Linked DNA regions of Rhinolophus ferrumequinum. The protein of the gene in region 4 binds, or shares a complex with, the protein of the main gene of each other region. Links are inferred from orthologs where the notes say so. Each region holds a gene or a part of one and is shown on either strand. Other genes may lie near its edges. The genes, in order: CACNB3, STAC2, STAC3 and CACNA1S.

Evidence for each region.
Region 1: CACNA1S (region 4) and CACNB3 share a complex: the UniProt entries of both Homo sapiens proteins name them as parts of the calcium channel complex. The link is inferred for Rhinolophus ferrumequinum from reciprocal best matches to the Homo sapiens genes CACNA1S and CACNB3.
Region 2: the proteins of CACNA1S (region 4) and STAC2 are in contact, whole or in part, in a crystal structure (PDB 6B27), measured with the Homo sapiens proteins. The link is inferred for Rhinolophus ferrumequinum from reciprocal best matches to the Homo sapiens genes CACNA1S and STAC2. Residues at the interface, in NP_000060.2 of Homo sapiens: Glu749, Pro750, Glu751, Ile752, Pro753, Ser755, Pro756, Arg757, Pro758; in NP_945344.1 of Homo sapiens: Tyr301, Lys302, Phe303, Gln306, Glu307, Asp310, Asn326, Asp328, Trp329, Phe340, Pro342, Asn344, Phe345.
Region 3: CACNA1S (region 4) and STAC3 share a complex: the UniProt entries of both Homo sapiens proteins name them as parts of the calcium channel complex. The link is inferred for Rhinolophus ferrumequinum from reciprocal best matches to the Homo sapiens genes CACNA1S and STAC3.

The regions. Positions count from the first base shown.
Region 1 is NC_046293.1:49,939,867-49,947,136, reverse strand, and holds the start of CACNB3 (voltage-dependent L-type calcium channel subunit beta-3), read right to left. Parts: upstream 3,206-7,270; 5' UTR 2,535-3,205; coding exon 2,490-2,534; intron 1-2,489. UniProt on the Homo sapiens protein: Regulatory subunit of the voltage-gated calcium channel that gives rise to L-type calcium currents. Increases CACNA1B peak calcium current and shifts the voltage dependencies of channel activation and inactivation.
Region 2 is NC_046304.1:35,985,820-35,993,712, reverse strand, and holds the start of STAC2 (SH3 and cysteine-rich domain-containing protein 2), read left to right. Parts: upstream 1-4,782; 5' UTR 4,783-4,971; intron 4,972-5,178; 5' UTR 5,179-5,227; coding exon 5,228-5,317; intron 5,318-7,893. Other genes in the region: transcription factor CP2-like protein 1, read right to left, coding at 2,894-2,911. UniProt on the Homo sapiens protein: Plays a redundant role in promoting the expression of calcium channel CACNA1S at the cell membrane, and thereby contributes to increased channel activity. Slows down the inactivation rate of the calcium channel CACNA1C.
Region 3 is NC_046293.1:56,296,104-56,303,616, forward strand, and holds the start of STAC3 (SH3 and cysteine-rich domain-containing protein 3), read right to left. Parts: upstream 3,224-7,513; 5' UTR 3,023-3,223; intron 2,352-3,022; 5' UTR 2,351-2,351; coding exon 2,285-2,350; intron 2,021-2,284; coding exon 1,756-2,020; intron 1,512-1,755; coding exon 1,414-1,511; intron 1,197-1,413; coding exon 1,124-1,196; intron 277-1,123; coding exon 179-276; intron 1-178. Other genes in the region: R3HDM2 (R3H domain-containing protein 2), read right to left, coding at 5,826-6,166, 7,046-7,130, 7,484-7,513. UniProt on the Homo sapiens protein: Required for normal excitation-contraction coupling in skeletal muscle and for normal muscle contraction in response to membrane depolarization. Required for normal Ca(2+) release from the sarcplasmic reticulum, which ultimately leads to muscle contraction.
Region 4 is NC_046310.1:1,102,512-1,110,557, reverse strand, and holds the start of CACNA1S (voltage-dependent L-type calcium channel subunit alpha-1S), read right to left. Parts: upstream 3,136-8,046; 5' UTR 3,052-3,135; coding exon 2,900-3,051; coding exon of another isoform or gene 2,881-2,899; intron 1,403-2,880; coding exon 1,297-1,402; intron 1-1,296. Other genes in the region: ASCL5 (achaete-scute homolog 5), read right to left, coding at 4,704-5,213. UniProt on the Homo sapiens protein: Pore-forming, alpha-1S subunit of the voltage-gated calcium channel that gives rise to L-type calcium currents in skeletal muscle.

The DNA.
Region 1 (7,270 bases), on a different chromosome or scaffold from region 4:
GGAACATTCCTTCAAGTCCGCGGTGCATGAGCACCTACAGAAGGCAGCAGAGGCCAGAGGTCAGTGGAGAAGACAGATTCAAACACCTGCTGTCGCCATGCCCTCTGCCCCAGTCCCACCATAGGCAAGAAGGCAGGTCAGCTTGATATCTGCCCAGGCTCTAGATCGTAAGCTAAAGTCAATGTCTGGGGTAGACGGAAGACACAAAGACAGCACAGGTGGGAAAGTCTCCTTTTACAGAGGAGGAGATTCTGCCTGCTGTTCCTCATCTCTCTTGAGAAGAAAATAAGGCTGGCTTGGCAGTAGGATAAAGGGTGCTGAGCCCCAGAAAGAACCTTTGCATTGTTAGTAGAGTGTGGGATCTCCTTCCAGGGGTCTTAGATGTATGAGGGGTCTTAGATGTAGGAGACAGCTGAACGAAGGGAACAGGGGACAACAGGCCAGGAGGCAGGAGGTAAGGCCGGATGATCATTCACTTTGATAAGTATCCATCAGATGCCTCTTAGATGCCCTGACCTGTGCTGGAAGAGGAGTCTGGCCTTTATCTCGGCTCTCCAGGCTCTCAGCCTAATTTAGTCATCTTAATGTCCCTCCTGGGGTATCTGGGTTACCTGGCCTCTCATTCTAGGATGGGAAGGATAGAATCTCTCCCTAAATGTTTAATGAGTCAGGTTCAGAATGGAACCCCCTGTCTATTATTCCCAAGTCCTCAGAGTTCACCATCTTTCATGCTCTGGTATCACTTGGGGAGGTCAGGGCTGCCCTTCCAGGCCTACTCTGGGGTCTTGCCTTCCCTACCCCACTATGCCAGAGCAGCCAGAGGCTCAGTACTTTGGAGCTGCCAGGAGTTGGCACAGTGCCCTAGTGGTGCCCCCCTTGCTTGGTGAGTGTGTGGGCAGGCTGCAGCTCCACTCTTGCCTGGCACGGGGGAAGGAGAGGAGGGAGATGAGCCAGTGGCTTTATTTAGAGCCTGATCTCCCTCCTACTGCTTCAGAGGGGGCCTCAGGGAGAGCAAGGAGCCAGGCAAGAGAAAGGGAAGTTGGGGAGGGTGATCCAGGGCCCAGAGAGGGGTGAGAAGTGAGCAATGGGTTAGCGGGCTGCCCCCAACGCCACCCACATGTCAGTCTTTCCCTTGAAACAGCTCTTGCCTTACTACCAGTGATGGGAAGAATCTTCTAGGGCCCTCCAGCCAAGCAGGAAGGTTTGTTCTCAAGCTCACCTTGGCACCCTGGGCCATGCCAGCTGTCTCTTCAACTGTCACAAAGAGGTGTCCACCAGAGCCTTGAAAATCATCTGCTCTAGCTGCCATGTAATTAGGCCCAGAGGCCCAATGGGGAATTGGCCCAGCAGGAGCCCAGGAAAGGACTGATAGCTGCCTATTCTGAGCCCTAGAACTCATCTATCCTGGGCTGGGCAGCAAGAGATGGGAGAAGACTCAAACACTCCACTTTCGATCCTGGAGTGCTCTACCCTCCACACCTATCAAGGACCCCTTCCAAGCCATCTAGTGGTCCTCTTCTAAGGAGGCCTTCTTGCAGGATGTTTGAGAGAAGGCACTGAGAAGCTGCTCCCCATCTTTGCTCCATCCTTCCAGTCACTCTCCATGCTCCCTGAGCTCCGGGAATCACTGACTAATGAGCTGATTTGTCTCAGTGGGTCAGGAGATAAAAGCAAAAAGGAGAATTAAATATTTATCGGTTGCCTGGTTCTCTGAGCAAAGAGCTTCCTCTCCATCCCCAGGCCCTCAGCTCCTCTGGCTTCAGCTCCAGGTCCTCCATGCTGAGAGGAGCTCAGGGTGCCTGCTGTTCTGAGGATGCCTCAGCAGGAGGCACGGACAGGATGGGGCTCAGTCAGCTGGCCCACCCATGTGCTGGGTGCCCACTTTGCAGCCTGGGAGAGAAGCTGGGCTAAAGGCAGGGTGAAGAGATGAGGCAAGCTCAGGATGGAAGGGGGAAGGAATAATGGAGGTCTTCAAGTTTTGTGATCTTTCTGTCTGAAGAGGCTGGTACCCGATTCTCTGGTGTTCTCTCAGGCTCCCTAAATTTGTCCTGTATTTGTGTCATGGGAGGTCTGGATTGTCCCTCTCCCCAAGAAATTCAGCTTCTCCTCTGAAAGCGGTTGTGTTCAGACCCGATCAATCCACCTGTGGGAACTTGAGACATGTCGTGTGCCCTTTCTAAAGCCCCTGTTCCCTCAGTCTCTAGCCCTTCCTCCCTCTACCCTCTGTTCTGGGCTTTGGAGCCACTTGCTCGAGCCTTCCCCTCACACTACTCCCTCCCTGCACACACCCCGAGCTCCTTGGTCTAGGATTGGGGTACCGAAGAGCCCGCGGCACGAAAATCATCGCCCCAATTTCCTGGAGCGCCCCCAACCCCCCGCAACGCTCTTCCCCGCCACGTTTTTTCAAAGTCCTGGACTGGGAGAAGGGTCCAAGGGAGAGCAAGTGTCACCCCAACTTCCCCACCCCCACCCTCATCGTGGGCACTCACCGCCTCCGAGTCCTCAAACCCGGGCACGTAGGAGTCGTCATACATGGGGGAGTCCGGGTGGGGGGAAGCGAGCGGCGCCGGGGGCGGGAGCGGCCTGGAGGCAGGGGCGAGGACAGCGGGCCGCGCCCGATAGATGCCACCGAGCCCCGCAGCCCTGCGGGCGGCGGCGCAGAACCAGAGAGCGCGAAGGAGGGAGCGAGCCGCGAAGACCAGCTGCTCGGAGCTCAAATCACCGCTTACCCCCACCCCACCCCCCAAACCCAGCCAGTCCCACCCCGAGCGCGGCTGAGGAATCTGGCGCTGGCTCCTACAACAATAGTGCCCGCCCACCTGACCCCCCTCCCCGGGAGCAGGCGGGGGCGGCGACTGGGGCGCCCGCCACCCGGGGAGCCCGAGACCCGGCTGGGAGAGGGTAGCGGACGGGAGCTGGGTAGAAGGTGGGTCCCCCAGCACCTACGGACCCGAGGGGCGGCGGGGAGGAAGGGGAGGAGAGACAGGGCGGGCGGATCCAGGCTGGGAGAAGGCGGGGCGAGGAGAGATGCGGAGACTGAGACGCTCGGCAACCCAGGAAATACTCCGCCGGGAAACAAAGGGCTGGAGCGGTGGAGGGGAGGGGGAGCGGAGAGGCGGAGGGAAAGGAGACCCGAGCCGAGAAAGAAGCGGGCGCAGGTTATTGGGAGGCAGAAGAGGGAGAAAGGAGAGATAGAGGCAGGAGACAGGCGGGGGAGACAGGAAAATGGGGAGACAGAAGAGGCGGGGCTGGGGCAGGCGCAGACGGGGGAGGGGCCCCAGGTGAGCGGGAGGCGTGTCTGGGCCCTGGCGGTCCCTGAGACTCCAAAAGCGAACCCCGTAATGGCACTGGGGAGGAATGGGTTTGGCGACTCCACGTCAATGCCACGAAAGTAGCTCCTGCCACACCAGGTGCTCGGCCCTCTCATTGCACCCTGCAGCAAGGGGCCGTGTCGCCCAACCCGTGCAAAAGGGCAGGTTTTGGGTCCGGCCGCCCTACACCTGGTGCGCAGGCAGATTTCATCCTAGTCTGGCCAGGATGGGGGGTTCCCTTACTCACTTCCTCGCCGAAGACTGTGCCAGGCATTGCCAAGGCACCCGTGGGAATTGGGACAGGGAGGGGCTGTCTTAGGTGAGCCTAAGGGACCGGGAAAGAAACCAGAAGGTGGAGGTAGGGGGATTGTGGCTGTGACAGAAGGTGGGGTCCTGGACAGACTGGGGTCGGGAGGGGGAAGGACAAATCTGGCCAGAGTCATTAGCTTAAGGCCAGATTTTCTCCTTAGCAAAAGGATGGGGTTGGAGTGGCCGGTATCCCCGTTGTAGCCACAGGTACCACTCTGCACCAGTCAGTCTCCTTTAAAGGAGCATTGAGACTTGAGGTTAGAGACAGAGCAGCAGCAGCCCTTATTTTGAGCCAATTTCCCCAAAGATCCACCTATTGGAGCTCCCTCCTTTTTTTCCATCTCCAGAGCAAAAGTATTCCTTTGAATTTTGACTGCCTATGGGCCCCCCTCGCACCCACCACCTAGAGGGGGATGTGAGATGACAGAAGGTTACCACCTGGAGAACTTCGAAGCTCAATCCTTCTCCATTCCCAGTTTTTCACCCCTAGGAGGGTGAATCAAGAATCTACTCATCCCTTTACATTCCTGGGCTACAGTGGAATTAGAAAACCAAAACTGACAGGGTTTGATGAGACCTATGGGAGAAAGCACTGTTCATGGGAGAGAAAGACCATCCAAACCAACTGGCTTCCTACTTATGTCACTTGTTCTGTTGGCAAGAAAAAGAGAGAAAGGGCCTACTCTTAAGACCGTCTTTAGTCTGCCTTCAGTCTGTCTAACCCTGTGAGTGGTGTAGTTCAGCCCTGCACAGCCTCTTCTTCCTGCTGGATCTGGCAAACAATTTTGTTGGAGCCCCAATGGCTGAGGGGACCAATCACTACTGGGAGAGGCAGTCCGCTTTCCCAGTTCCCTCTCCTGAGTCCAGCATCATTTGGAGGTTGGTCATATATTGGACTCTTCTGTCTTGGAAGTTCCCAGACACGCTGTCTTCTCACTTTTGTTTCCTTTCCCAGTTCCTCAGAATCCCTATATGCTCCTTTTTTATTCTCTGCCTCTTCAATTCCTTCCGTTCTTCCAGAGGGGCGAAAAGAAGGCATGAGGTGTAAGAGAATATGACCCTCAACGTGCCCTCTCCTGGGAGGTAACTCTAATGAAGAAGACAGCTGCTGAGGCATCTGCTTCTCTCCCCATCTTTGAATCCACTCTCCTGGCCTCTCCTTTTGGGAATCCCCACCACCAGGGCATCCCAGGGACTGTAGGTAACAGTGGATCTGCTATGAGCTTCATTCCTTCCTCACACAACTTGTTGTAAAGACAGCATCCCCATACAGGACAATGGTGTCTAAGTCTCCTTTGGTCTCCCTCCTGAAGCATCTGAAGCATGAGTTGCTATGCCAACCACCCCCAGGAGATAGGTTCAAGTTCCTCTTACCTGGGTCCATCCCCTGGGTCTCACACGGCTTCAGAGCCTCTCTCTCTCCCTTATCTCTGAGTTGCTACTCAATACCCCCTTCCACTTCTCACCTCACCCACACCTGTCTACTCCAGTTTTCATGCCAACCTAGTGACTTTCTGTCCTGTAAAAAGACATGTGCCTGTCAGTGTCTTGTGGCCCCTAACCCCTTTTCTTTCCCATGACTGAGCATAAGGGAAGAGAGCTGAGGAAAAAAAAAGGAAAAGAAAAACGGATTCCAGGAGAGGATTCCTCCTTCCCTCCTCTTATTAGGAGAGAGCTGTTAGACTGGCAGCTAGCAGGTACCCAAGGCAAGGAAGCAGGACATAGGAGGAAAGCCTGAATAACCAGGTTTGGGAGTTGGAGTTTTGGGAACCTCTAGAATACTTTCTAGCTTCTCCTATAAGTGTACCAAGAAGCGGAGCAGATTCCAGTCCCTGATCATTGAATGAGGAAACTGAGGCAGGAGCTAGGACCTCTGGGAAGTCCTCCACAGCAGTCTATAAGATCTGGACCAAACCAAATATCCCAATGTTCTAGCTGCAAGGCTGCCCCCAGGGAACCTGGGGAGGGTTGGGTGGGGGGAGTTTGGCAGAGCCCTCCTCTCTCTGTCCTCTTTTCTAGCTCCCCAGTCAGTCCTCTCCTATCCCAGTCCCAGTGCTTCGAGGCTGCCAGCTCTGTCTGCTCCTTTTTTTCTTACCCCCTCATTCACCCTTAGCCTCACCTTTGGTTTCCCTCCCTCTCCATCACTGCAGTCTCCCCCAAATACGGCCCTTTTCCTAGCTTGGAGTGGGGCTTTTCTCCCACCCCTGGGGAGGGGCCCCCCCCCCCCGTTTACCTCATTCAGCAGGAAGGTTGCACTGGAGTCAGAAAAAGACATAGACCGGACTAGCGGCCTCTCCCCCTCCCCGGGGCCAGGGGCTCCGAGGCGGGAGCAGGACCCGGCCGCAGCTCTGCACAAGGGCTGCTGCCTGTACGCCTGGCCTCGCCCCACGCCCGCCTGGCTCCACCGCCTGCTCCCTTCCCTCTCTCCAGGTTCCCTCCCCCTTTCCTCTTCCCTCCCTTCCTCCCTCTCTCCCTTTCTCGCCTTCTCTGTCACTCTCGCCCTCTCCCGTCGCCTTTCAGTCCTGCTCTCTCCATTTCCGTCTCATCTTCTTCCTCTCTACGGTTCCTGTTCTCTGTTTATCGGGTTGCCTCCCACTGTCCTTCCATCCATAAAGCTCTCATCCCTTTTCCGCCTGCCCACCCTCACTTCTTCCTCTATCCCCTCCCCAGAAAAGGGACTCAGGAATTCCCACCGCCGCAGGCAGAAGGGCGTGAGTAGCTCAAGGGCTGCCCGACTCTGGAGCTTCGGTCAGAAGGTTCTGATCCCCTGACCCCAGCTCGGTGCTCCCACGCCCAGCCTCCAGCGCCCGAGAAAGGAAAGCACCCTGGTCCCGGTGGCGGCTCCGACCGACCTCAGCAGAGGAATGGATCGAAAAAGAACGCTCATGTACTGCTAGCTAGCCCCAGCGTCAAGGCGCCCCCTCTGGATTTCGGGGAAGCCACGTCCATCCGCCGTCCCAGGCCCAAACCCGGTGGCTCCTGCGGGATCGAATTGGAGACAGTCTAACCAGGACGCGCCCGGCGCCTGGGGAATCTCTACCGTCACTGCTCTCTCCTAGGTGCTAGCGCCGCGGGACTCAGCCTGTGAAGGCAAAGAGTGAGGCTTGGCGGCTCCTCCCCCACCGGCTGCAGCGCCCCCTGGACTCACTAGCCGGGTGGCGGCACAAGCCCTCCAGGTGGCGGCACCGGCCCGGGGGTCCTTTCTGTCCGCAGGCAGGAGTTCGGCCCTACCAGTAGGAGGCGCTGCCCTGGCCGGAGCAGAGGGTGCGCAGCTCCGAGCCCGACCCCCACCGAAGCCCGGGATAAACCTCTCTCCCTCGCGTCTTTCCAGGAGCTGCGGTCCCATTTCCAGACCCCTAGTATGGAGACTCCAGGCTGCACTCTATTCCCACTCCTGTGGGGCTCTTTTTAGATACTTGGTCCCCCTGGAGCTCTAGATCCCTCCTACCTCCATCCTGGTCTCCAGAGGCGACAAGGCTGAGCCTGGCAGCGTCCCGGTAGGGCCAGGCCGGGCGGCCGGGAGTACACAGTCGTGGGACGGCTCCTCGGGTCGGTACCCCTCCCGCCCCCTTCGGCGGGCACGTCAAACAGGACAAGCCCAAGTTCTGGCGGGGGAAGGGGGGAGCAGGGGTGTATCCCCAGCCAGCTCT
Region 2 (7,893 bases), on a different chromosome or scaffold from region 4:
TCTTAACAAGGTTGCCGGTTCGATTCCCACATGGGCCAGTGAACTGCGCCCTCCACAACTAGATTGAAAACAATGACTTGACTTGGAGCTGAGCTGCACCCCCCACACACACCTAGATTTTGAAAAACAACGACTTGACATTCTGGAAAAAAAGTAGCAACCTTTCTGAGCCTCATGCTGCAATTATAAAAAGAGGATGATGAGAGCCTTTACCCCATAAAGCTAGAGTGAAAACCGAATGAGATAATAATCGAGCCCTCATAAATGTGTGTGTCTTTTTTTCTATGAATCTCCAGTGCCTAGTACATCATAGGTTTATTTATTTAGCACTTAAAAGTACAGGTTTATTTCTATAGCACTTGTAAGTAGAGGGTCTGTTTATCAAACACAGTTCTTCAGTGCTCTGCATGTCTTCAGAGTGCTTTTCAAACAGTCTACCTTCTGAGGAAGATGCTTTTTTTTTCTAATATATTATCCCCCATTGTACAGATGAGGACACTGGGGCTCAGAGAGGTCAAGTAGCTATCTCAAAGTCACACAGCTAAGAGGAGACAGAGCCAGGGTTTGAACCCAGACCATCTGGGTCACAGTCCCTGTTCTTAAATCACTGTACTATGCCCCATTCTGCCTGATAAATTTAGTGTGGAATTTAAAATGAATCTCCAGGCAACATTCCAACCTGGAAGCTGGAGAATGAGGTCTACCTACCAAGTCACCCTCACTTCTAACCTCCAGATCCATTTGCTTCCAGACTTCATCCTCTCTCTTTTCTACCAGCTCTGAGCAACAGCCTCCACCCCAGTCTGTGCCCAGGCCTCCTCTCCAGAAAAAGATCCTCCTTTAATACTTTGGGGCTCCTCAGTGCTCATTTCTTCAAAATTCTAACCCTAACAGCTCTCCCAGTCCACTGGATTCCACCCCCTTGCTCACCCCAAAGTGATGACATTGCTATTACCGTGGAAACATGCTTTGTGGGTGGGTAGGGGGAATGGACTGGTGAAAGAAAGCAATGGCTTCAGGACACAATCAGAGACAGGGGATGTGGAGGAGTGGGTAAACGCGCTAGGCTTGGGGAGGGGCCCCCAAGGGCTATGACCCCCCCACACACACAAGACTGCTATTAGCCCTATGTCCCCAGCCTCAAAGAGAAAAGAAACAGAAGGGGCAATAGAGGGTTTCTTCATGGAGGAGAGGACAACATTCCCAATTTCATTTTCCCCCTCACATGAGAACAGGTCTCCTGGACAGTCGGGCGCCTCAGGGGACAGGGGTAGGATTGCGTGCACTGGAACCCCTGTTGTTCCCCTCCAGGGAGCCTGGGGCACAGACAGCAGTAACAGCTCACCCAGGGAGTGTTAGGGACAGTGCCACAGGCAGTGGGAGGGCGGCTCTATGCCAGTGTCCCGAGCTCCAGGGGTTGGTGGCAGCCGGGGGTGGAAGGGCCCTCCTCCAGCCCCTGAGGACCTGGCTGTCCCAGATGCCACAACCGGGAAGTGTGTCAGGCACTTGCGTAAGAGCCTTCTATATTTCCATAAAGTCGTAATTACAGATGCCTGCCATGGGGCTTAGCTCATTAGAGCGGTATCTGCCCCTCGGGCCCTGGGGTGGGCTGGCAGGGGGAGATGGCGGAGACTGGGCAGGGCCAGGCCTCGCGGTGTTTTCTGCATTCCCAGCCCCACTGAGCCTGGACCCTCTTCCTCTCACCAGCTGGGAGATGAAAACTCAGACTTGGCCTTAACCATGACGGACTCCCCCACCCTAGGAGAGCCAATTGCAAAGCTGGAGGGAAAAGCCAGCCGCTCATGTTTTCAGCTTGGACGTTCTTTGGCAACCCATGGGGGCAGAGGCCACAGCAGGAAGGGCTTCAGCTGAAGGTGTTTGTAGGAGAAATTGGGTTAGTCCTTATGGAAGGAGAAGCAATCCCTCACATCAGAGAATCTCAGCCACTCACTGGAGGGGCCCTGGGGGACATTCAGGCCAGAGGTTCTTAATTTGGGGGATCATAGATTCTCTGAGGAGCCAATGAAAACTCTGGACTCTCCTCCAGAAAATGCTTATCCTCCAAAATTTCACAAACCTCCTGAAGCTCACCTACAAGACCAAGGTTAAGAATCCATCATCATCATCATCTATTGTGTATTTCCTCTGTCCATTGCCTTACATATATTAACTCATTTAATCCTCAAAAGAATACTAAGAGACATATAATTATTGCCACGTTTTAATCCAACTCCCCATTTCAACCTAATCTAGTCTATTCTGCCAATCTCAAAAGAAGGAAACCAAAGTCCCTCCAGAGCTAGAAGCTCTCTGCCCAAGGTCGCAGACTGGGATGAGGCCCAGGCTCCCTTCATGTTCTGGACATTGTGCTGCATGCAGATTGGAAGTTATCTGGTCCATCCCTCTGTCCCCGGGTTCCTGAGGGCCCCGCGCCCACTCTCATTCACTTAGCTCTCCTAGTAAGAGGCACCCCAGTAGTTCTAGTTTGACTTCCGGTCTAGGGAGCCCTTCTGAGAATGTGACTGCCACTTACCCTCCTGCAATGCCTTGCCCCCTTCTCTGCCCATCCCTCATTTCTGCACTCTGAATCTGAGATGAGACAACGTTCCTCCCCCTCCAGGAGAAGCCAGCCCGGCTGCTCCTGCCCTGTCCCTGAGCCACTGCAGTAGGAGTTGTTGGCACTGAGACAATGACTCAGACTTAGTTCATGAAAGACCGCTCGGAAACAGCCAGAAAGGACATCCAGAGGTCACGGCACCCAGCCCCCTGCCTCCTCCACATTAGAGAAGTGAGTCCCGAGGGTGTGCAGAGGATGGGTTCACTCAGGCTTCTGGTACCGAGACCAGATGGGCCCGGGGCCATCCACTTCCCTGGCTTTCCTGGTCACCAATACCTGAGAATTCTTCCCCATGTCTCATCAGAATCTTCCTGGGTTGACTCCCCCATGAAATAACCGGCTCCAAACAGCCCAAGAAAGTGAGGGAAGGAAGCCTGTTTCTTATCTCTGCCTCAGGAAAAGCACTGGAAAGGGACAAATCTCCTAGAAGAAAGGAGGGAAAGCAGAACATTAATTTTCCCTGCCTGTCTTCCCTGGGCTAAGTGGCATACTGCATTACCACATTCATTCTCCTAACAGTGAGGTAACACTATGTCCATTTTGTTGATGAAGAAATCAAGGCTCTAAAAGGTTTAGTTACCTACCCAAGATCACACAGTTAATTAGTGACTATATAGGTACTGGACTCTAAGGAACGCAGAGCTTCTGTTGTTTGGGGGGAAGACAGGGTACCTCCCCCAGGAGGTCTCCAAATGCAGAAATCCCTGTTTGCTCCAATCCAGGATAGGTGGAGGGCCTGATGACCCTATCTCAGGGTGCTCCAAGCATCCCTTACAACTCAGTTGCCCAGGGAAGGGATGTTGGGGTGACCTGGACTCGGCAAGCGGTAGGAGGGCAGCCCTCAGAGGGGATTGGGAGAAGGCTGGTAATGAATGGGCCTTTGGGGAGACTGGTTTGAGGGCTGAGGCCAGGTTCTTCTACAGCTCCTTTCAGGAAAGCTAGCACTCAGAGAGTCTGCAGCTGCAGAGGGTAGATGTAGAGGGGGAGGGAACCAAGCCCCCACAAACACAAACCCTCACGTCTGCCCTTGTCCTACTTCTGCCACTGGCAAACAAATCTCTATTCCTGGACACAGTAACCTGAGCAGAGCTCCAATGGTGAGCTCATCCTTGGGAAGACAGAGATTGCATGAATGGTTGTGTGCGTGGGCAGGAGGGGGGGACACAGGGTTCAGTCCCTCCTCCAGGGCTAGCATAAAAGCAGGACCCTCTTGAGTACCACCCACCCACCCATCTCATCACCCACAGCAGATGAGGAAGAGGGAGACAGACCCAAAAATTTCTCCACCCACACTTAAGAAAGGATTCTGTCAATTTCCAACTTACTTCCCTTTCATTGGACAGGCCAAGAGATGAAGCTAGACCTTTTGATCAGGGCCGGAGAGGGCAGGAGGTGAGGGAAGGGGACTTGGGGAAATGGCAGGTAAACAACAAGCATTAGAAGAGGTGCCTTCGGGCCAAGGGGACAGAGCACATCTTGGAGGGTAAGAACGCACTCCCCCCCCCAATTTCCCTACCCACTGATCTAACTCCCATTTATGGTAGGATCTATAGGATGGGGCTGTGTCTTGGAGAAGTTTAGGGGTCTTTAGGCTGAGGCTCCTTCTCTGCTGCAGTCCAGACAGCAAGACTGGAAAGTGACACAGTTGACCTGCTTTACATCCACAAAAAAATTGCCAGGCCTGGCCTTTGACACATGCTGTTAAGTTGTCCCTTCTCTCCTTGAGGAAACCCCTACCTTATAGGCCAGGGGTGTGTATATTTGGAGAGAGTATCTCAAGAGCAGAGAGAGAACCAGGTAATGGGACAGAGGGTTCCCATTCTTCCTCCACTTTGTTATCAAGTCCTAACTTCCATCTCATTCTCAGCTATTCTGCAGATCCAACCTATTTCTATTCCCCCAAGTCCCATCCAGACTCTAACATGATCTCCTGAGCCTTCCCTCAACCTTGTCATGCCCCCACTCCGAATTTTTCAGTGTAAAACTGCCCCCTCCACTTCAGCACCCTCCAAGCCCCTCCCCATCTTGTCAAGGCTTCCAGGCTCCGCCCAGTTCGTCCTCCTGGCCGCGGCGGCAGCCAATAGCTGAGGAGCTGATTTGCATAGCGACGGCTGAGCGAAGGGGGAGGGACCAGGCGACCTCCTAAATCAAAGTTGGGAGGCGAGGACTGGGCGGAGGGGGCTGCCGGGTGCGGGGCTGGGACCCGCGGGGGAGGGAGGGGAATGGGGGGCGGGCGCAGCGGACGGCGGTGCCCGCCGGACACGGACAGCTCCGTCGCTCCCTTCCTCGGCTCATCCCCGCATCCCCACTTCCCTCCTGCCCTGGCTCAGAGCAGCATCCTCTGCAGACCCTCGGTACTCACTCCTGGGGTCGTCCCACTCCCGCTGCTCCGTGTAATTTCCTTCCCTCACCTGCCAACCCGGGAACTTTCTCCGCTCGCGCCCGGGAGAGAGGGGTTGCTTTGCTTGGGCGGGGTTTCTCCTGGGGTTCATTGGGGGCAGTCTTCGGAGAAGGGCTTCAGGGTCCCAGAGAGACGCCCGCCACCCGCATCCCACCCCCAGCGGGCCTGCCGTCGGGTCTCGGTACCCTCTCATCCCCTTTCCCCCAACCATGACCGAAATGAGCGAGAAGGAGAATGAACCAGATGACGCGGCCACCCACACACCCCCGGGGACCGTCTCTGCCCTCCAGGAAACCAAGGTAACTCGGGAGGCGCGAGGCCTGGACCCCTGTCCGGTGCGCCCCCGGCCCGGGCGCCCTCCAACGCAGTTTCCACTGTGGGTTCGGGTGCCCTGGGGTCACAGTAGCGGGCCGGTGTGATCCTTAAGGCTCCGATGGGTTCGCGACGAGGGGCCACTAGGATCCCCCATCACACAAGCACAACACGCCCTTACGCGCGTGATGAGCCGATTCGCTACCGCGACCCTCCAGGGAGGTTGTAACTCGGCTTTGTTGGAGGGAATCGGCGCAGCAAAGGCGGAAGGAGTGTGTAGCCGTGTGTAGCGGGTGTGGGCCGGTGTACGCGCCGGTGTGCGTGCGAGGCGCTCCCCTCCTGTGTCCGCCAGGTCTCTGGATGTAGCTCAGCCTCTCTCTCTCTCTCTCTCTCTTTCTCTCTCTCTCTCTCTCTCTCTCTCTCTCTCTCTCTCTCTCTCTCTCTCTCTCTCTCTTCTCTCTCTCTCTCTCTCTCTCTCTCTCTCTCTCTCTCTCTCTCTCTCTCTCTCCTCCTCTCTCTCTTCTGTGTCTGTCTCTCTCTGCAAATGTCTCTACAACCTGTTTGTCTCTGTCTTGGTATCTCCCTGTGTATTTCCCGGGTTCTGTCGGCGTCTCTATGTGTTTATCTCCGAGTCTCTCTGGACGTCTCTCTCTGACCCGCTGCAGTCCTGCATTCCCCCCTCCCAACCGGGTTAGGCTCGGGGACGTGAGGCCGCGGCCCGGGGGTGCGCAGCTTTCGAGTCCACGCTAAGGGCTGCGGCAGCGCGGGCCATCGCGGGCGGGGACCGGAGGACTGTTGTTGCGGCTCCAGAGCAGAAAGACAAGCATCCCCCACTCCCCACCCCGGAAGCGGGACGGGGGTGGGGTGGAGTTGGGCGGGTAAAAGCAAAAAGAGAAATCGTAATTAATGAATGTCATAATTAACCCTAATTATGTATGGATGTTACTCCTGCGGGAGTCACAACGAATAAATTATTCCCCACTGAAGTCAGGCGGAGAGCCCAGACTCCTGGCACTGAAAAGGGGGAGGGGAAGAGCGCTGCTTGCATTCAACGCCCCACCCACCCACCCACCCAATCTGTCCGCTCCCTCCTCCAGTTCTAGGTGTTCCCGACTGCCCGGCAAGAAGTTCTGCAGAAGCAACCTGAACGGGTCTGGGGATGGGGAAAGAAGCGACTGTGTTTAGGCTTCAGGAAGGGAGACTCCAGGCTCCAGGCTCCCCCTCCCTAGACTTCAGGCCAAGACCTACTTCCCTCTCCGTTCCACCTGGTGTTTTGTTCCCACTCTGCTTCTGCTATCCATGTGAGGACGGGGCAATTAGGACCAGAAATGGATAGTGATACTTTGGCTCTCCCTGGTATCACTAGCTCATCTATAGCTCTCTCCAGTGCCCATCTTCCTTCTCATTCTGTCTTGATCACCCCCCCAGGATATGAGGTTAATTCAAGGTCAAAGTCATCAAGGGAGTGACCAGGGGGAGATGAATAGGGCCAGGGTGGAGTCTGGCTGAGGCATCCCAGGAAGCTCCCCATCCCTAAGCCAGAGAGACTCAGTGGGTCTCCATGTCCAAATCTTCAGATAAACACTTGACCTTCTCCTGCCCCCTTCTAAGAAGGAGACTCTGGGCTCTCAGAACACAGAATTAACTTCCCCTCGGAGAGTTAAGTGTCTGTTGGGAAAGGAATGAGGAGCTGGGGTGGAAGGATATTGCTTGGAATATCTGTGACAGCTTCTATCAGGCAGAGGATCCCAGGAGCTGAGCCCTATCCTGAGTTCCAAGGCCCCTGACCTTCTCAATTGCCTTCTAATCACCCTGTACACACGTACATAATCCCCATGCTTGCTTCCCAGGGGCTTGGGGGCCTCCCAGGCCCTGCCATGCTTCCCACACCAAGGCCTGTCAGCCATGCCTCTTCCTTAAGAGCTCTCCACAAGTAGGCAGGAGTGAAAGCAGGTGGGAGCCTGGGCAGTGCTGCCTGCTGCCTCAGCAATCAGCAGGCTGCAAGCTCAGCTTTGTTGGGAGGGGGAGGTCTGGACCTGGCAGGTCTGTACCACCCTCCTTCCAGCCCAAGGACCCTCCAATGCCATCAGCTCTGGGTCTGACCATAGAGATCCCAGGAGCAGGGGAGGAGGGGCAGTGCACCTCTGACCTGGACCGTCTGTGCCAGACCAGTTGGAGCCCTGTACCTTTGCCCCCTTCCCCTATACTTCCCCTTTGTGAAGAACTCAGTAAAAACCACACGGGCTGGGCTGGGGATCAGGAGGGCAGAGAGAGAATAATTCAGGGACCTTGCCAGCCTCCTTTTACCCTCCCACCCCCAGTCTGTCTCAAAGAAACCTCTGTCTCCAGACTGTAGGAGTGGGAGAGATGGAAGGGAGAGGATTGCTTGCTGCCCATCCAACTCAACTTGAAGCAGGTACAACAGAGGAAGCTGGTGCCCATCAGGCAGTGAAGCCAGCATTCCAGGCTTATATATCAGTGTTTGGGGCCCACTAGGCATTTCTTGCCAGCTCAAGTCCAGCCTCCTGCTTGTCCTAAGGTTGGGTCTCCCCCCTGCACCCAA
Region 3 (7,513 bases), on a different chromosome or scaffold from region 4:
CTATGGCAGGAGTTCTTAACCTGAGGACCTCTACAATTGCATGCAAAATGTGTCTGTCTGGTTATGTGCGATTTTAGGAAATAAGGATCCCTAGCGTCTGTCAGCTTTCCAGAGAGGAGCCAGGTGCTGCTCCCTGGGGTCTCTGGAAGGCATCTCAGTAGGAAGGGGCGGCGCTCACATTTTTCTTATCTGCCTGGCCCTTCTTCCGCTCCTTGTTTGCCATGATCACCCCAGTGCGCAGCGTTTCAAACACAGGGTCATTGCGATTGGCGGCAGCTAGTGGGAATGGAAGAAGAAAGAAGCTGTTACTGGGGAGGCAGAGCAAGGCTTGGAGGACAGAGACACCGCCTAAGCAAGGGAGAGGTGGGACTGAGCAGATACGTGCGTGTGTGCGTGTGTCTGTGTGTGTCTGTCAGATTAGGGAAGGGTCACTTGGGCAAACACAAGTCATCAATCTACAAAGAGCTCCAAAAACATCACTGGAAATGTAATGTGATCGAGAAAAATATTATCAGCACTCCTTCTAGGCAGGGCATTCTCAGAATCACTATTCTCCTTCTAAGTAGAGAGGTCCTTTAACTGCTGGCTTTTGTTCCACTAAGTGGCATGTGCCAGCTGGGGTGCCACCACCAGTGAGTTCTTTTTTACACCCATGCTCCTCACAGAATTCAGCCTCTCCTCCAAATAAATGTGGAGCCAATTGTCAAATAACGTTTTGTAAGGGTTGCCAAATTAAGAATGTGCCCAGGGTGTCCACAGCTCTTGGTCTGGCCCTGAGTCTGGAATTCTTCTGTAAGGAGGATGAGGATTGTCAGAATCTTTGTTCACTTAAAAATGGTTTTGCATATGAAGAGCACAGATTTTGAAGTTAGGCAGATGAAGGTTTTCGTCTTGGCTCTGTCTCTTGCTAGCTGTGTGGAGATCTAGCTAAATCTTATCTCCCTCAGCTATCAAACGGGAGTATTGACTCTGCATCCAAAATGGCTCAAATATTAGGTTGAGAGAGAACCACAGGAAGTAGAATCTTTCTGTTTCAGAATTTGGCTTCCAAAGCTAGAGATGGTGCTGAAACCATCTCTATCTAGGCTTGCCCATTCCCTCAGGTCCCAGGGGGGGCACTTACAGAGATCTTTGACACAAGCGTACTGCTGGTTGCTGTAGAGTGGGGAGCTATAGGCCCGACGGAAGCCAGGGGGCTGCAGGGTAAGATGGGATGGGAGAAAGCATTAGAGAGAACACAGTAGGGCCCAGAACCCCATCTCTCCCATGAGTGCTCACCCCTTCTCGAAGTTAAGAGATAGGCTGAGAAAGAAAAGGCAGGAAAATGGATGGGGTGACCTGAGGAGGGACTGGCAAGGGGGTAGCTGGCACCTGTCTGCTCCCTCCTACTGTCTGGCTCCCCAGTCTACTCACGATCTTGCCGAAGCATCTCTGCATCTCCACGTAGGACTGACAGTGATCGTGGATGCTAGTTTTGCAGTTCTTACAGCGAAGCCCAAATTTGTTGTTGACTTGGGAGAAGGGGAGAACATTTCGGTGAGGCTCCTGTTTCCTTCTGCCTTTGTACCGTTGTTGCTACTCTAGCTCTCAGGTCCCTCTTCTGTCTGGGAGCCCACACTTGAGGTCTCTAACAGTTATTTTCTTAAAGCCAATTCTTGCCACAGCCTGTCTGCTATACAAACACTCCTCTGCTAAACCCTTTCCCCCTGTCCCGCCTTCGACATCACACGTTCTCCACTTCCCTTCATGACTCACGCACAATCATCCGGGCACAGACATCACAGAACTTGGGCTTCTTGAAGAAATGTTCTTTGAATTTGTGGGGCTTATCATTGACAAGCTTCGGAGGTTCTGGGGGTGGCTCCTCTTCTTCCTCTTCTTCCTCCTCTTCCTCATAGATGTAGTAGATGGGCCCACCCCCAGCTCCCACTGCCTCCCCGTTGGCCTGGGGCTCTGGGGGAAGCTCCATTTCCTTTGTCCCTGTAGACTCCTTCCTGAATAACTGCTTCAGCCGCTGTAGCTGAGGGAGGGAGGGAGGGAATGAAGGAAACCCAATGTTAAAAGAATTGTCATGCTCTCTAGGTAAGGCTGAGGCTAACTAGACATGTTCCTAACCTGGGGTAAGGGGCACACCCCAGGATTAGGGGGTACTGGCGGGTGCAGGTGCTGGCTAGCATCCTAACAATAAATGAGTCGCATATAAGTGCCATCAATTCAAGCACTTTTCAAGGGCTGCGGTGGCTTTGCAGCTCCCCACACCCCATGGTCAGAGGCCCAGACTCACCCCACTTTGCCGAGTCTCTGCTGGGAAGGAGGGCTTGGGCGACTCCAGCACCTCCTTTTCTGTCATCCTGCAAGAGGTTGGACCCCACTATGAAATCTAATCTCTGACTGCCATTCTTCCCTCCCTTATTCCTATCCCTCGTAATAGGGTGGTCCTTGAAGGGGAGGCTTTGGGAGAAATTTGGTTAAACAGAGATCCTTTCATAGGGCTTATGAACAGGAAGATTCCATTGAGGTCCAGAGAAAAGCCCAACAGACAAAAGAACTTCCCAACCAGTTCCTCTAACGATATCCATCCTTCCACCCTGAAGGGCAACCCCAGGGATTTTCCTACAGACCCTGTTTCACAAAATCTGTGGGCAATGAGACATGACACACACCTTCCCGAGATCTTTCTTCGAGAGGTTTGATGTGTGGAGGGAAGCGCTGGGACATTTGTTATCCCAACCTCTTTCTTGAGCCCTGGAGGCCCAGGGCCTAGTTCCCAGCCTGCCTCAGGCCTCAGCTATTTTAAGTTTTCAGAGTAATAGGAGCCTTTCCTTCTCTTACTACTCCGTTCCCTTGACCCAACCCCCACCCCCCCTCCAGTCCTAGCTCTTTGTCCAGGAGTAGAACAGTAATTTCACTCCTAAAACCCAAACTACTCACAGACAAGGAAAGAAATGAAGCTGAACAGACTCAGGATTGGGGAAGCCGGGGTGAATAGTCCTGGAAATGAAAAGGGGAATTGGCAACTTACGTTTGGGGTTCCCTAAGTCAATCCACAATCAGTAGAGGGAGGAAGGAGCCCCTGCGGTGTTGGTGGTGGGGCTGGAGGACTGGTCCTCTTCCTTGGGGGCTAAGCCCCCCCAGTACCCTCTGTACTCACACTGGCTACCCAGGCGGTATTTGTAGACCTAGCCTCTTGCCTTGGTGTCAAAGCTGAAATGACAGGGCTAGAGGAAAGTGGACAGCTGAGCGACACAGCTGACACAGAGAAATTGGACACGGAGAGGTCTGGGCAGGGCTGGACCCTAACCTCTCCCATCCCCCAGAGCTGCCGTTCCTTGGTTTTTCATCTATGGTGTGTAAGTCAGTATGGGCTAAATTCAGGAAGAGACAGTGTTCATGCTGTGTACTCGTGGGTGATTTTTAGATGACTAATGGAAAGACGAATTACAAACAGCTTTCCCAATCCCCTTTCTCCAAGGCCCAAACACCTCCCCAATTCTGCCCTCCCTGGACCTACTTCAGGAACTAGGCTTTGACTTCTCAGCCATTGTCTTCTTGTGGCCATGTGTTTTTATGCCTTCAAGCCTTTAAGAAGGAAAAGGCTGGGAACTGGTGAAGAAAAGAAAATTTGAATTTTCAGAGCTCTCCTATCAGCCAGATTGCTTTCTTCTCTACGGGTAGATGGAGGGGTACATGCTGCTGTCCTTATGGGAGTGAAGAACGTGTAGTACTGCTGTGTTCCTTCCAGTTGTTCCCAAAGACTTCTTTCCCCCTATTCCTCTAAAATCTTGTCCTCAGGGTGAAGGTATTTCTGAGAGCTATTAAACAAAGCCAGGTTGTGACCCCCATCTGAGGGCTCTGGAAGAGGAAGGGTCTAATGATCAGGTAGAGATGCTATTGTTCACACTGGAAAGACGGTAACAAACAGCTGCCACGCAGGGCATTTTTACCGTCTGTAAGGAATATCCCTTCCTCATGAGAACTGCAAACTCTGGGAGGTGGTAGGATGGCCAAGCCTCACCCTTCCTGAATCATTCTGATCCCGATTCCTCTTCCCTCCTCTGAGGCCCCGGTGTATGAACTGATGGCTCAGTGAGCTATCTGGCATTCTTATCTCCCAGGGATGCAGCCTTCTGCTCTGTGCTGACACCGCTGAAAGGGAGATACTCCCATGGTAGGGGAGCAATTTGGAGGTGGCGACATAGTGTTGCTTTATCCCTTGTATCTTTAAAAAGTAAAGGATTACTTTGGAGGTTGGGTCAGACAAGCCCCAGAGGAGCGAGCCTCACCAGAGCTACTCCTACCCAGAGCCAAGAGATTTCCGGGGCGATGTTCTTTGTCATTTCTGCTCTTTTTTCTCTTTAAGGGGTGGCTCAGATTGAAAGGGGGCTGCTGGATGATTCTGTGCCTACAGGCTCTTTAACAACTGGTCTGACAGGCTAAACAACTAGGATAGTTTTGAGAAGCCTCAGAGGAAAAGCTCCATCTTGTAGGCAGGTGACTTCTGCTCTTCACCTTTCTTCAGCTGCATAGGACATCTGGGTAATATGGCATCTGGGCATTGCAAATTTAACGGACGGAGCTTTGTATTGTAAGAAACATCCACTTCTGTTCCTGCCAGGTAGAACCCAATCCCCTGGCTTTAAGATTAAAGGCCCAAGTCTTCTATCCCTGAACATTAGACGGACAGGTATGAGGCGCATCTGAATCCAGGTCTGGACCTCAACTCCCCGTCCCCAGCTCAGGCTCAAGGACCCTAAATGAGTGTTACAGAATTAACTGAGAGGACGGAAACTCAGGGGTCACCTAGTCAGTCCACATCTCTTATTTTATTGATACAGACTCAGAAGTGTCGAGTTGAGAAGTGTGTGCTTGATGAATCAGAGTTAGTTGCAGAATTGGGAGCACCCAGGACCCAGGTCCCATTAGAGACCCAGGTACCTCAGAACTATGTGTAAGGAGGAGGCTGGGACACAGGGAATAGTGTTAGGATGAGATAGGTGCATATGCTAGGAAAGCCATCCAAACCCACATCAAATCCCTCCAATAACCGTGGGGTTGTACCTACCCAGGACCTCCAACCCCTACCCACCCCAGGGCGGCAACACAGAAACAGGGACTGACGTCCAGTGACAGATTTTTTTTTTTATATTTAAAAACAAAATCAACCTCCCCCCAAATGATGCCCCCTAAACAAACAAAAACTCAGATTAAATAAAATTTACAGTGAATATACCCAGCAAACATCTGTTATGTGCAATTAAATACTGTATCTGTTACTTCGGCACGAACCTCAAACAAACAATATACAAGTGTTCTGGGGAGTAGGGGTGGAGGAAGGCCCAAGTTTTAACTCTGGGGTTTGGGGAGACAAGATGGGGGAAGTGAGAGAAAAGGGAAATCAATTTCATTTTTCTTAATTCTGTCCATATAAATATATTCATAAAGACCAAAAAAGAAAAGGGAGCTTGGGATGATCAGGAAACAGGAGAACAGGGGAGTGTAGGACTCTCCCAATTCTACCTAACCAAAAAATATCAAAGAAATTAATTTCATGGTGGGAGAAGAGATCAAAAATGATAGAAGAGGATGGGAAGGAGGGGGAAGCAGAGGAAGGCCAACCAGGGAAAAAGAGGGGACCCATGGCAGGGGAGTAAGAAGGAGTCCAGTGCCAGTGTGAGTGTCTGCTTCCATCTTCATCCCTACTGTTTTAGGCTCCAGTTTAGTGTCTGTCACCTTCCTTTCGGTCTCTGTCCATGGTCTATCAGGATCCCTCAACACCCTCCACCCTGCCCTCTCCCCTGCTGTGCTGGTCCCTTCCCCTCCTCCCTTTATTGGGAGCTGGCTCGCTCCAGGATCCTCAGGTCATAGTTCTTTTTGGCCACTCGAAGTTTGAAGCGACTCACAGAGTTGTTGAGGCGAAGGGAGGCATTTTGGGCCGCCAGGGGGCTGGGGAACACAGCCACGATGGTGTACAAGGCAGCGAGGTCCGCGTGGCGGCCGTTCTCGGCAGTCCCACTATTGTCCCCCCCACCTCCGCCAGGCAGCCCCTGGGCATCCTTGAGCCATTGGATCTTGGCGCCGGACATGGCGAGCTGAGTGAAGAGTTTGTCCGCCTCGGTACGAGTGATGCCCTCAGGGAGATCTGTCACCTCCAGCACCCGCCCCAGGACTGGAAGGGAAGGAGAGAGGACAAGGTTGTGAGAGGATTAGAGTAGGAAGGACTGCACAAATATCCAGCTGGCCATGTCTGTATACAACATTCTCAAAAGCCTGGCCTTTCTCACTTCGCCCTTCCCTCCTTCCCCAGTCAACCCAACTCCTCACTATCCAGACTCTCAGCAGGGCAACTAGGAGAAACAAAGGAACCTTTCTCCTCTAGCCTAGAGATGCAGGCAAGGAGAGACTGGGAACCAGAATCCCAGATTGAAGATCTGGAGACCCGCACCTCAGTTCTCTCACAGGGAGCTGTTACTGTGAAGGAGTGTGGCTTTTGCTGATGTTCTTTGACAAAGTCAGTAGCGTAATCTGAAATATGTTCCATAGCTCCCTTCCCAGTGGCTGGCCCCAGTAGATTCCTTTTTTATTATCTATGGAAGTCAGTTTCCCCTCCTTTCCTTGTTTAGCAAACTGTTCCAAATAGGGGAAATCCTGACAGATCTCGTATGCCTAGTACGGAAGGCCTGCAGGAGGCGTTACTCCTCCACATTCCTTTGTCAAGCTTCTCCTAAATTAGGTCAAGGACTACCAAAGGTAGACAACCTTGACTAAAGTCAGGGCCACTGCCACAAGACTCTGTTGATAATAGGCTCAGCAACCCCCATCATTGTGTTATTCCCAATTTTTACCATCATCTTCCCCAGCACCTGGAATAGCTTGGTAAGGAGGAGAGAGATACTTCACTTCTGCAACTTCTCCTTGCTCCTGAGTACAGAAGGGTACCATTTCTACTCCCCACCCTAAGCTGGCTTTTCCCTGCCATCCTGGGCTAGTAATGTAGGGCTGGAGGGGTGAGCAATTTCTCTTGGAGATTCGGCATCCTGTCACTCACCAACATCTGTCGTCCCTAGGTCAGTGGAGGCAGATTTGAGTGCTTGTCTCTTGCTCCGGTTTCCATGTTTCAACCCAGTCTGTCCCTTCAACATCAGAAAGATAATTCTCATCCTGGGTAAATAACATGGACTGCCTCGCATTCCAGTGTCTGCCTGAGAAGTTAAGGAAGGAGCAGCACCCAACCCTGAGGACCCCCCTCACCAGGTAGTCAGATTGGTCAAATAGCCACTGAGAAACAAAGAGCCCCTCCCTCTTGGCCACGGGGTGGGGAGAAAGGAATGAATGGTACTGGAGTGCGGTAAGGCCCTTCCACTTTGTCCATTCTCTGTCTGCTGTCTCCTTTGTCCACCCAGCTGGCTGAGGTAGATGGCTCAGAGATAGGGGCCCGAGTGCGAAGGGGGTGTCTGACGGCCCTAAGGCTGATGGACACCCTTACCTGGTGCACCGTGTAAGTCGACTGGCCATG
Region 4 (8,046 bases):
GGAGCTCAGTTTCCCCGCTCATGGCCAAGCAAACAGAGAGTCCCAGCTTCTCCCCAACTCGAGACAGATTCCCCTGGAAATGGGCACAAGGAGAGGCAGAGATAACACATTTCTCTCTGGCCCTGGACGCTGCCCACCCCTGCAGGGTAAGTGCAGAAAAAAAGCCACCGAGATGTGGGTCCATTGTCCAGTCCCCTCGCCAGCCTGGACCACACGCCTAAGGCCACTATGTCAAGGGGCTTCCCCAGAAATCCTCATGCTGTCACGACGTTGGCAGCACCGCCTTACAGGGTGGGGCTGAGTCACAGAGGCCTGAGTCTGAGACCCTCTGAGAAGACACCTGGGGGGTGACCCTGGGCCAGGTATCCCAACTCTCTGAGCCTCAGTTTCCCATCTTATAATGTTTCCTACCTCACAGGGGCAGCTATGGGGACAAAAGTAGACAATAATGTAAAATATTTAGCACAGAATCTGGCATCTAATAAGCACTTAATAAATGGGAAGCATTTTTATTGCTATCTAGCTGTTGGGTAAGTACTAAGTAAGTACTAAGTGAGCCTCAGTTTTGTCTCCTATAGAACAATGAGGTTGGGAGGGGGTGGGACACCCCAAGTCTGGACAGTCTCTTCCAGCTCCGGCTGTTATGGTTTTTGTGTGTGGTGTGGGTGGACAGGGAGGAGACAGGGGCACAGAACCCTACAAGTGTCCTGTACTGGGAATCCTGGATGGAACCCTTCTAGGAAGTCAATCAGGGCTCCTCTGGATTTGATCCAGGAGGAGAAATAGGCATTCGGCACTCATCACACACTGGCTGACTTCCTCAGCCTCAGTTTCCACACCTGTCAGGCGGCACCTCAGCCTCAGTTTCCACACCTGTCAGGCGGCACCTCAGCCTCAGTTTCCACACCTGTCAGGCGGCACCTCAGCCTCAGTTTCCACACATGTCAGGCAGCACCTCAGCCTCAGTTTCCATACGTCAGGCAGCACCTCAGCCTCAGTTTCCACACCTGTCAGGTGGGACCTCAGCCTCAGTTTCCACACCTGTCAGGTGAGACTGCTCCATGGGGCTGGGAGAGGATCCAGGAGTTTAGTCTGGGCAGGGGCTTAGCCCAGCGAGCACTCCTGCGGGCCTGGCTGGCAGTGTCACAGAATCTAGAAGGGGCAGCCCTGAGGGTGGTTTTGGCAGGTCTGTATCCTCAGACAAAGCTCCAGCATCGTCCTCCAGCACACAGCCCACCAAGGGGGCCTCCCCAGATGGCCGCAGGCCCGCGGGACGGGGAAGGGAGGCCGTCTTACCAGGCCGACGTTCAGAGCATTGTTGTCGTCCTCTGGCATGGGCAGGTACACGGCCAGGGCCACGCAGTTGGCAAAGATGGTCAGTAAGATGATTGTCTCGAAGGGTCTGGGGCCAGGGTTAAGGAGAGCCCTCGAGTGCGGCGTGCGGTGTGCAGGGTGAAGGGGAAGAGGGCCTGAGGGTCAGTCTGGACAGTGCCGATAACACCCAGCTGAGGGGCCCTCCTCCTGCAGGCGTGGAAGGGCCAGGCTCCGCTCAGGAGCAGTGGCTTCCACTCAGATGCTTGGAGACCCTGCCGCTCCGGCTCCCAGCTGAGGCTCCTCATGTAAGGGCCAAGGAGTCTACGGCTCCACTCCAAGGTCCTGTCTCCCTCCCAAGAAGCTGTGACTTTCTGAGATTCTAGCCAGACCACCTGGGGGGCTCGTTCGGAGAAGTGGGCTGATAGGATATAGGCTAGGTGCCCACAGAGCAGGACTGGGGAAGGGACAGTGTGGGGTGAAACCTGACCCTCAGAGCCCGAGGGAGGACTGCAGGACCCCCGATTGTCAGCACCCCCACCCCCAAGACACAGCCGGCCTCCACGGCCACCTTCCAGAGGCATCCAGGCCCATTCCTTTCCTGCTCTGCTGGTGAGCAGCATGGCTGACCAGAGGCCGGCCCACCAGAAAGCCTGGGAAGCAGCTGAGGGAAAGGAAGGCAAGGCGGGTGGAGGGGGAGGGAGGCATGCTGTGGAGACGGGCTTGGGTGAGAACCCCGTTCCCCAGGCAGCCACAGGGGCAGAGGCCTGGAGGAGAGTCCCCTGAAAACCCGACCTCACGGGAGGCAGTGGGCGAGGGCAGCTGTGGGCTCAGGGCTGACTCCGACCCTAAGGATTCCAACCTGGTCCCACGTTTTTCTTGTCTTTGCAGTTACCCCTTCTTGGGAACAGCTGGCGGGAGTCGGGTCTCCCAGGGCCCTTCAGAAATATTTCAAATATTCCTGACCATCTCTTTCAGAACCCACTTGACGTGGGCCTTCCCTCCCGCCTGTATCTCCTTTCTCCTTCCTCCTCCCAAATAACGCAGAGATTTTCATCGTCCTCCTCCCAGAGCTGATGCAGACGCAGGAAGGGGTGTCGAGTGGGGTCTGAGTTAGGATCACCCGCCTGCCCTGCCTGCGCCCTGGGCCTCTCACAGCAGCGCTTCATCCAGGCCTGTTTCCTCCCCGCCCCCAGCTGGGCTCATCCCGCTCCACTGCCCCGCCCTCCCCTCCAGGGGGAGGGTTTTCTTGCAGAGCCCACCCACCGCTTTGTTCTCCCCCATCCGATATCAAAATGAGCCTGTCGCTTCACAAGCCTGAGGGGAGCCTCCCGACGATGCTGTGGGCCCAGGTACACCTGCCAGCGGCTCCCAGACACAGCCCGGCCTCGCCCCCGTGGTCAGCAGGCATCTCTGGTGGACCCCGGACCCAGCCGCACACTCAGGCCAGGGAGCCCCCCAGCTCCTCCTCGGCCCCCCCCACGGCTGGGGCCTTCCTGCCCCCACGCTCCTCTGAGGCAGTCACCCCATCTCCAAGAGCCTCTCCGTGGCCTCCCTCGCCCACGTTACCCGCGGGCCCAGAGGATACTTCCATTCCACGATGCTGATGCAGGCTTTCCTCAGCGGGTTCTGGAGCGTCAGGCACAGCAAGGCCCGGGGTGGCCGCGGCAGAATCTCGGGGACAGGCTTCTTGGGCTGTTTCTTCCTCAGACTGTCGTCCTGTGGGGAGGGCGGCTCCATGTTCCCCGGCAGCCCGGCTCCTGCTCCCCACCCACTGCCCTCGCCTGTGTCCTCTGTGCCCTCGCCGTGGGGACTGGGCTGCTGAGTCTGCAGGGCCAAAGCTGGGCCAGGGGGTGGGGCCGTGGATTACTCTCCCTGCTCCCAGGGAGTAAAATTAGCCTCCCACTCACTGGGCTGCCTGTGCCCCTGAGGCCAGGCAGCTGTCATTTTTTCCCAGCCTAGCCAGTGACATCCCAATATGTCCCAGGAGGGTGGGGGTGGTGGTAGCCGGAGGAACTGCAAGCAGGCCTGGAACGGGCAGTAGGAGACAGGATGGAAGATTTCAAGGCTGGGGAGAGCGGCTCAGGAGGGCAGACCTCCGAGATGGTGCCTAAGACACGGCTACTTTCCCCTCCCCCAGCCCCATGACACTGTCCAGAAAAGGTGCTGGGTGGCCCGATCCGTAGCCACCTCCCACCGCAGTACCTGCAGCTCTCAGGCCAGAACCCCTCCCCACCCTCACCCCACCCCACAGTGAACCCCTGTACACGGGGGTGGAGACCCCCAGAAGAACCTGGAATGCGCCCCCCTTGGGGACACTGTACCTGCCACTCTGAGCAGTGACTGCTTTGTACTCCCTGCCCCCTAACTCTAAGGGTCCAGTGCTTTCTCCCTGGGACTCTGGCCCCTCCCACACTGTCCCTGGATGTCATATGCTGAGCTCTGTAAATGGTAGTTGAGTGTAAGAGCTAACAGGACACTTACCCACCTCACGATAAGTGCGGGCCAACATTATCCAGGAATCACACAACTCAACAAATCTTTTATTTGGGCCCTTGGCACAGACGGCGCCACTGTGCCCATACGGTCCTGCCGGCCACAGAGGCGCACAGGATGAGGTGGGAAAACGCAGTCCTCACCCAAACTGGGGAAAAAACGAGGAAAAGGCCACAGGGGGAGTGGGGAAGCGGGGTGATCGCCCTCCATCACGGACCCAGGGGGTGCCACCGGAGGGCGCCACCAGTGCGCACACAACGCCTCTTTCCAAGTCTGTCGGTCCCGTCCCGGCAATTGCATGCAGAAGCCCGCCTCCTCGTCCCGCTCTGGGCTCCTCTCCCGGGGGCAGGCGGAGGGGTGGGGGGCAAGCAAACTCCCGAAGAGGCCGTTGGTATGTGAGGCCACCGCGTGGAGGTTCGGGCGGTGCGCATCCCGAACCAAAGCGCGGCTGGTCTTCTGGAGACTCGCAGACCCAGGGCTGCCCCTGTGGCCACGGAGGACCGCGCAGGGCACCGCCGCCCGCTGTGCACAACCAGAGGCTGGGCCTCAGCTTTCCCCGGCGCGGAGCCGAAGCTGATTCGGAGCCAGACCCCCCCGATGACAGTCCTGGCCAGCCGGCCTTCCGGCGACCTGCAGGGCGCGGCACGCGCTGGAGCTTCCCCAGGGCCTGCGCCCCGCTGCACCCGCCGCTGCACCCGCCGGATGCCTAGGTCTGCACCGGCCACTGGCAACCCTTGCCCTGCGCCTCCGCCCAGATGGCAGGGAGGCGGCCGGCCGTGGGGCGGGGAGGACGGTTCGCAGACGTGGAGCGCAGCGCGCCCCTGAGTGTCCGGGCCTGCGCCGCCCCCCAGGGACCCGAGGCGCTGTCGGCAGTGAGGCGTCCCTGCGCAGCCGCATCACTGGCTGGATTCCTCCGACTCCAAGCCGGGCGAGGAGGAGAAGCGGGGCTCCTCCGGCGGCTGGGCGTCGCTGGGGCGTTCAGACCGGGGACCGTCGGGGGCGGCGCGCAGCAGCTCCTGCAGGTGCCGGATGTAGCGGATCGCGGCGCGCAGCGTCTCCACCTTGCTCAGCCGCCTCTCGGCCAGCGCGCCCGGCAGGTGGCCTCGGAGGCGTGCATAGCCCTCGTTGACACAGCGCACGCGCTGCCGCTCGCGCTCGTTGCGCTTCTGGATGAAAGCTGGCTCGAAGGGGCCGTCGTAGCCCCCGAGGGCGCCCGGCCCGGGCGCACAGGGGAACAGGCCGGCGTAGGCGGCGGCTGGGCCGGGGAACAGCAAAAAGGGCATGGCGCCCGAGGGCTCCGCTGGCAGGGGCGCTGGCCCGGAAGGGGGCGCGGCGCCCAACTGCACAGCACAGGGGTGCACCGCGGGTCCCCGGTCCACCAGCCCCCGGCAGAAGTGACCGTTCATGGTGCCACGGGGGGCTGCTCCCAGAGGCAGGCCCTCCCTGAATCGCCCCTGCTCGGGGTCTGCACGTCCCCACCACGGGGACGAGTCACATCGCCAGCAGCAGCTCTGGGGTTCCAGGACTGGTTAGCGCTTCTCTTCACTCTTTGGGCTGGCTTCTGCCGTTCCCCTAACGCGTGCCATCGCTCCGGACTCGGGTGGCTCCAGGCAGAGGCTCAGCGCAAGCAGGACTCCGGGCCAGTGACCTCATCCGTCGGCCATGCTCCCGCGACACACCTGGCAGCGCCTCGCCTGCAGCCCCGCGAGGGCGCCTCCCGCGGGTGCTAACGGTGAGGCTCCGAGCTGGGGCCACAGTGCCTGGGCCTTGTTCCTCACGGCCTTGGGGACCCCAGGCCGCCTGGGGGGTCAGGAACTGCCGTTCCAGCTCTGCAGAGGGTCCCCGGGAACGTTTCTAAAGAAGAGGAGAGAGGACATATGCGTTAGGAAAGGCCTGGTATGGTGGCCCCTGTGTCACTCCAGCCCCACACCAGACTGTAGGTGTGGTGAGGGGAGGCGGGTGCCTGCTGCAGACAAGACGCCAGAGCAGGGTTCCAATCCCGCGTTCCCCCTTCCTGGTTGGACTGCCTCTGAGTCATGGTTTCCACACAGGGAGAGAATTAAAACACCCCTCACAGGACAATAATATATGAGAACCAAATGAGAAAAAATACACCCCAAACAGCTCCTGGGCCTGGCTTAGGAACAGCGCGGATAATGTCCTTTTCCTTGAGTGGGAATGAGTCTTATCACTGATACCTTCCTGGACCTGCCATCCAAGGAGCTCAGAGACCAATTATTGGGTCAGCAGAAGAAATGCAGTGGTGACCACAGCCCTCCAAGGGGTCTCACGCTTCACTGGAGGACACGCATCTTTGATTCCAAGAACCTGGGGTGTTGGGACGTTCACGGCCTTCTCTCTGCCTTGTGGAGAGGCAGGACGGGAGCACATGGGTCCAGGACGCACCTCTCACAGCACCCTGGCTTCTCCTCGGGGACACTGCCCCGGAGCGTGTGTGCTTGTGCGGCTGGGCCCAGAGCCTGGCCTGCCCCGGGCGCGTGAAGACGCTCACAGGTACTGACTGGATAACCGAGAGGATTGGGCAGCAAGGGCAGCCTGCCTTACACACAGCCCTGCCCAGGCTCTAGGAAGCGGCTGTTTCAGAAGTCACTGCCTGCGTGGAATGTAAATGCCACCAACCCTCATCAGTATGGGGTTACTGCGTCCACGTAGGTGTCATTTCCTCTAGGAATTCTCTCTGACCCTGCTTCCCTCTCCTGTGCGTGTCCACGATGCCCTGCAGAGGCCATCTGAGCACTTGTCACACTGCTGTTACTGTCCCCTCATGATGGAAAACCTGCGATTCACTGACTGGGGGGTGAGCAAGTGGGCGCTGCACGCCCGGTGGACAGTGACGGACAGCTGGAGACCCGGGCCACTGGGCCAGGCCTCTCCACGGGACAGAAGGGGCCAGCTCTCTCCCAACGGGGAGGCTGGTCACAGGCTCATTCCCAACCGTCTCCTTCTGCACATCCTGGGCTTTGTCCTTTTCCTGTCCCCGAGTCTGTTCCCATCTAGCTCTCTGCCCTCCACGCGGAACGAAAACCAGGAAAAATCCACAGTGATTCTGACACCATGGAGACTCACTCTGCTTTCAAGAGTGGAAATAAGTGTGTGAAACATCGGGACAGACTCCCCTGCTCAACAGCCTTCGAGGGCTCCCCACTACTGTCCAAGGAAGGTTCTCGAAAATCTCTTCAAACAGACCCTCAGTTCCATCAGACCCAGGACACACAAAGTGTCCTGACCTTACCCCTGGGCTTCCACTGCCCTGACTGGCCGGCGGCCCTCTCCACACCTCTGCTCCCCCAGTCCTGCCCTCGCCGGGTGCCAGAGCCCGAGCTTTGCAGCTCCCAGCGTGGGCTTTCAAGATTGTGCGTCTCAAGCCTTCGGCCAGATTGGGGGCCACCAGAGGGCGCAGCATCGACTCAGGAGTGAGGGCCCTCAGTGCCTCCCCCAGTGTTGGGCACCTCACGGGTGCTCACAGTTATTCACTAGCAGTGCTTGCATTTTTTTTTTTTAAATATGGGATCCAGACTGTACTCCCCACATAATCCCTATTTATAGTTGACTTAATTATTTAAATTTAATTTGATGGAGGTCTGAAGCTTTTATCTAATGACAATTTTAATAAATACAACTTAATATTATTTGTGTGGATTCCATTTTCAAAACTTATTTATTTCCCACACCTACTCATCAGAGCTGCCAACTATCATTTATGACGCGCAAAGCACGGGGCCCTGACACCCCGGTTTGACTGCTACACCTTTCCTGTGAGGATGTACTAAGGTCAGCCGGCTTTCCCGGTGGGGACAGAGGCTCCTGAAGGTGAAGTTACTGCCCGAGGCCCACAGGCAGGAATCAGTAAATGGAACCAAGCTCACGGTCTTTCCCCTTCGTCCCCCAGTATCTTCTTTGTGGCCTCACATGTGAACCAAAAGCTCAGTGGGGCTTGCACTGACCTAACAAACGTGTCCTGTTCAATGAGGGGGTGTCCCCCGCAGGTTCAAGGCGTCTGCTGTTGCTGAGCTGCTGCTCTGGGGGGACAGGTCCCAGGTCACCTTGGCGCCGTGGGAAGAGAACGCCCCCTGGAGGATGTTCTTAGAAGGGCGGCCGTGGGGTTCTGTGGTGGGAAAGCAAGAATAGGGTGTCATCAGACTGAGTCCAGCACCAGGAGCTGCACCCCCGCCAACTTGATGAGGCGCTCCCTTGCCTGAGCTCAGGAAACGTGAGTAG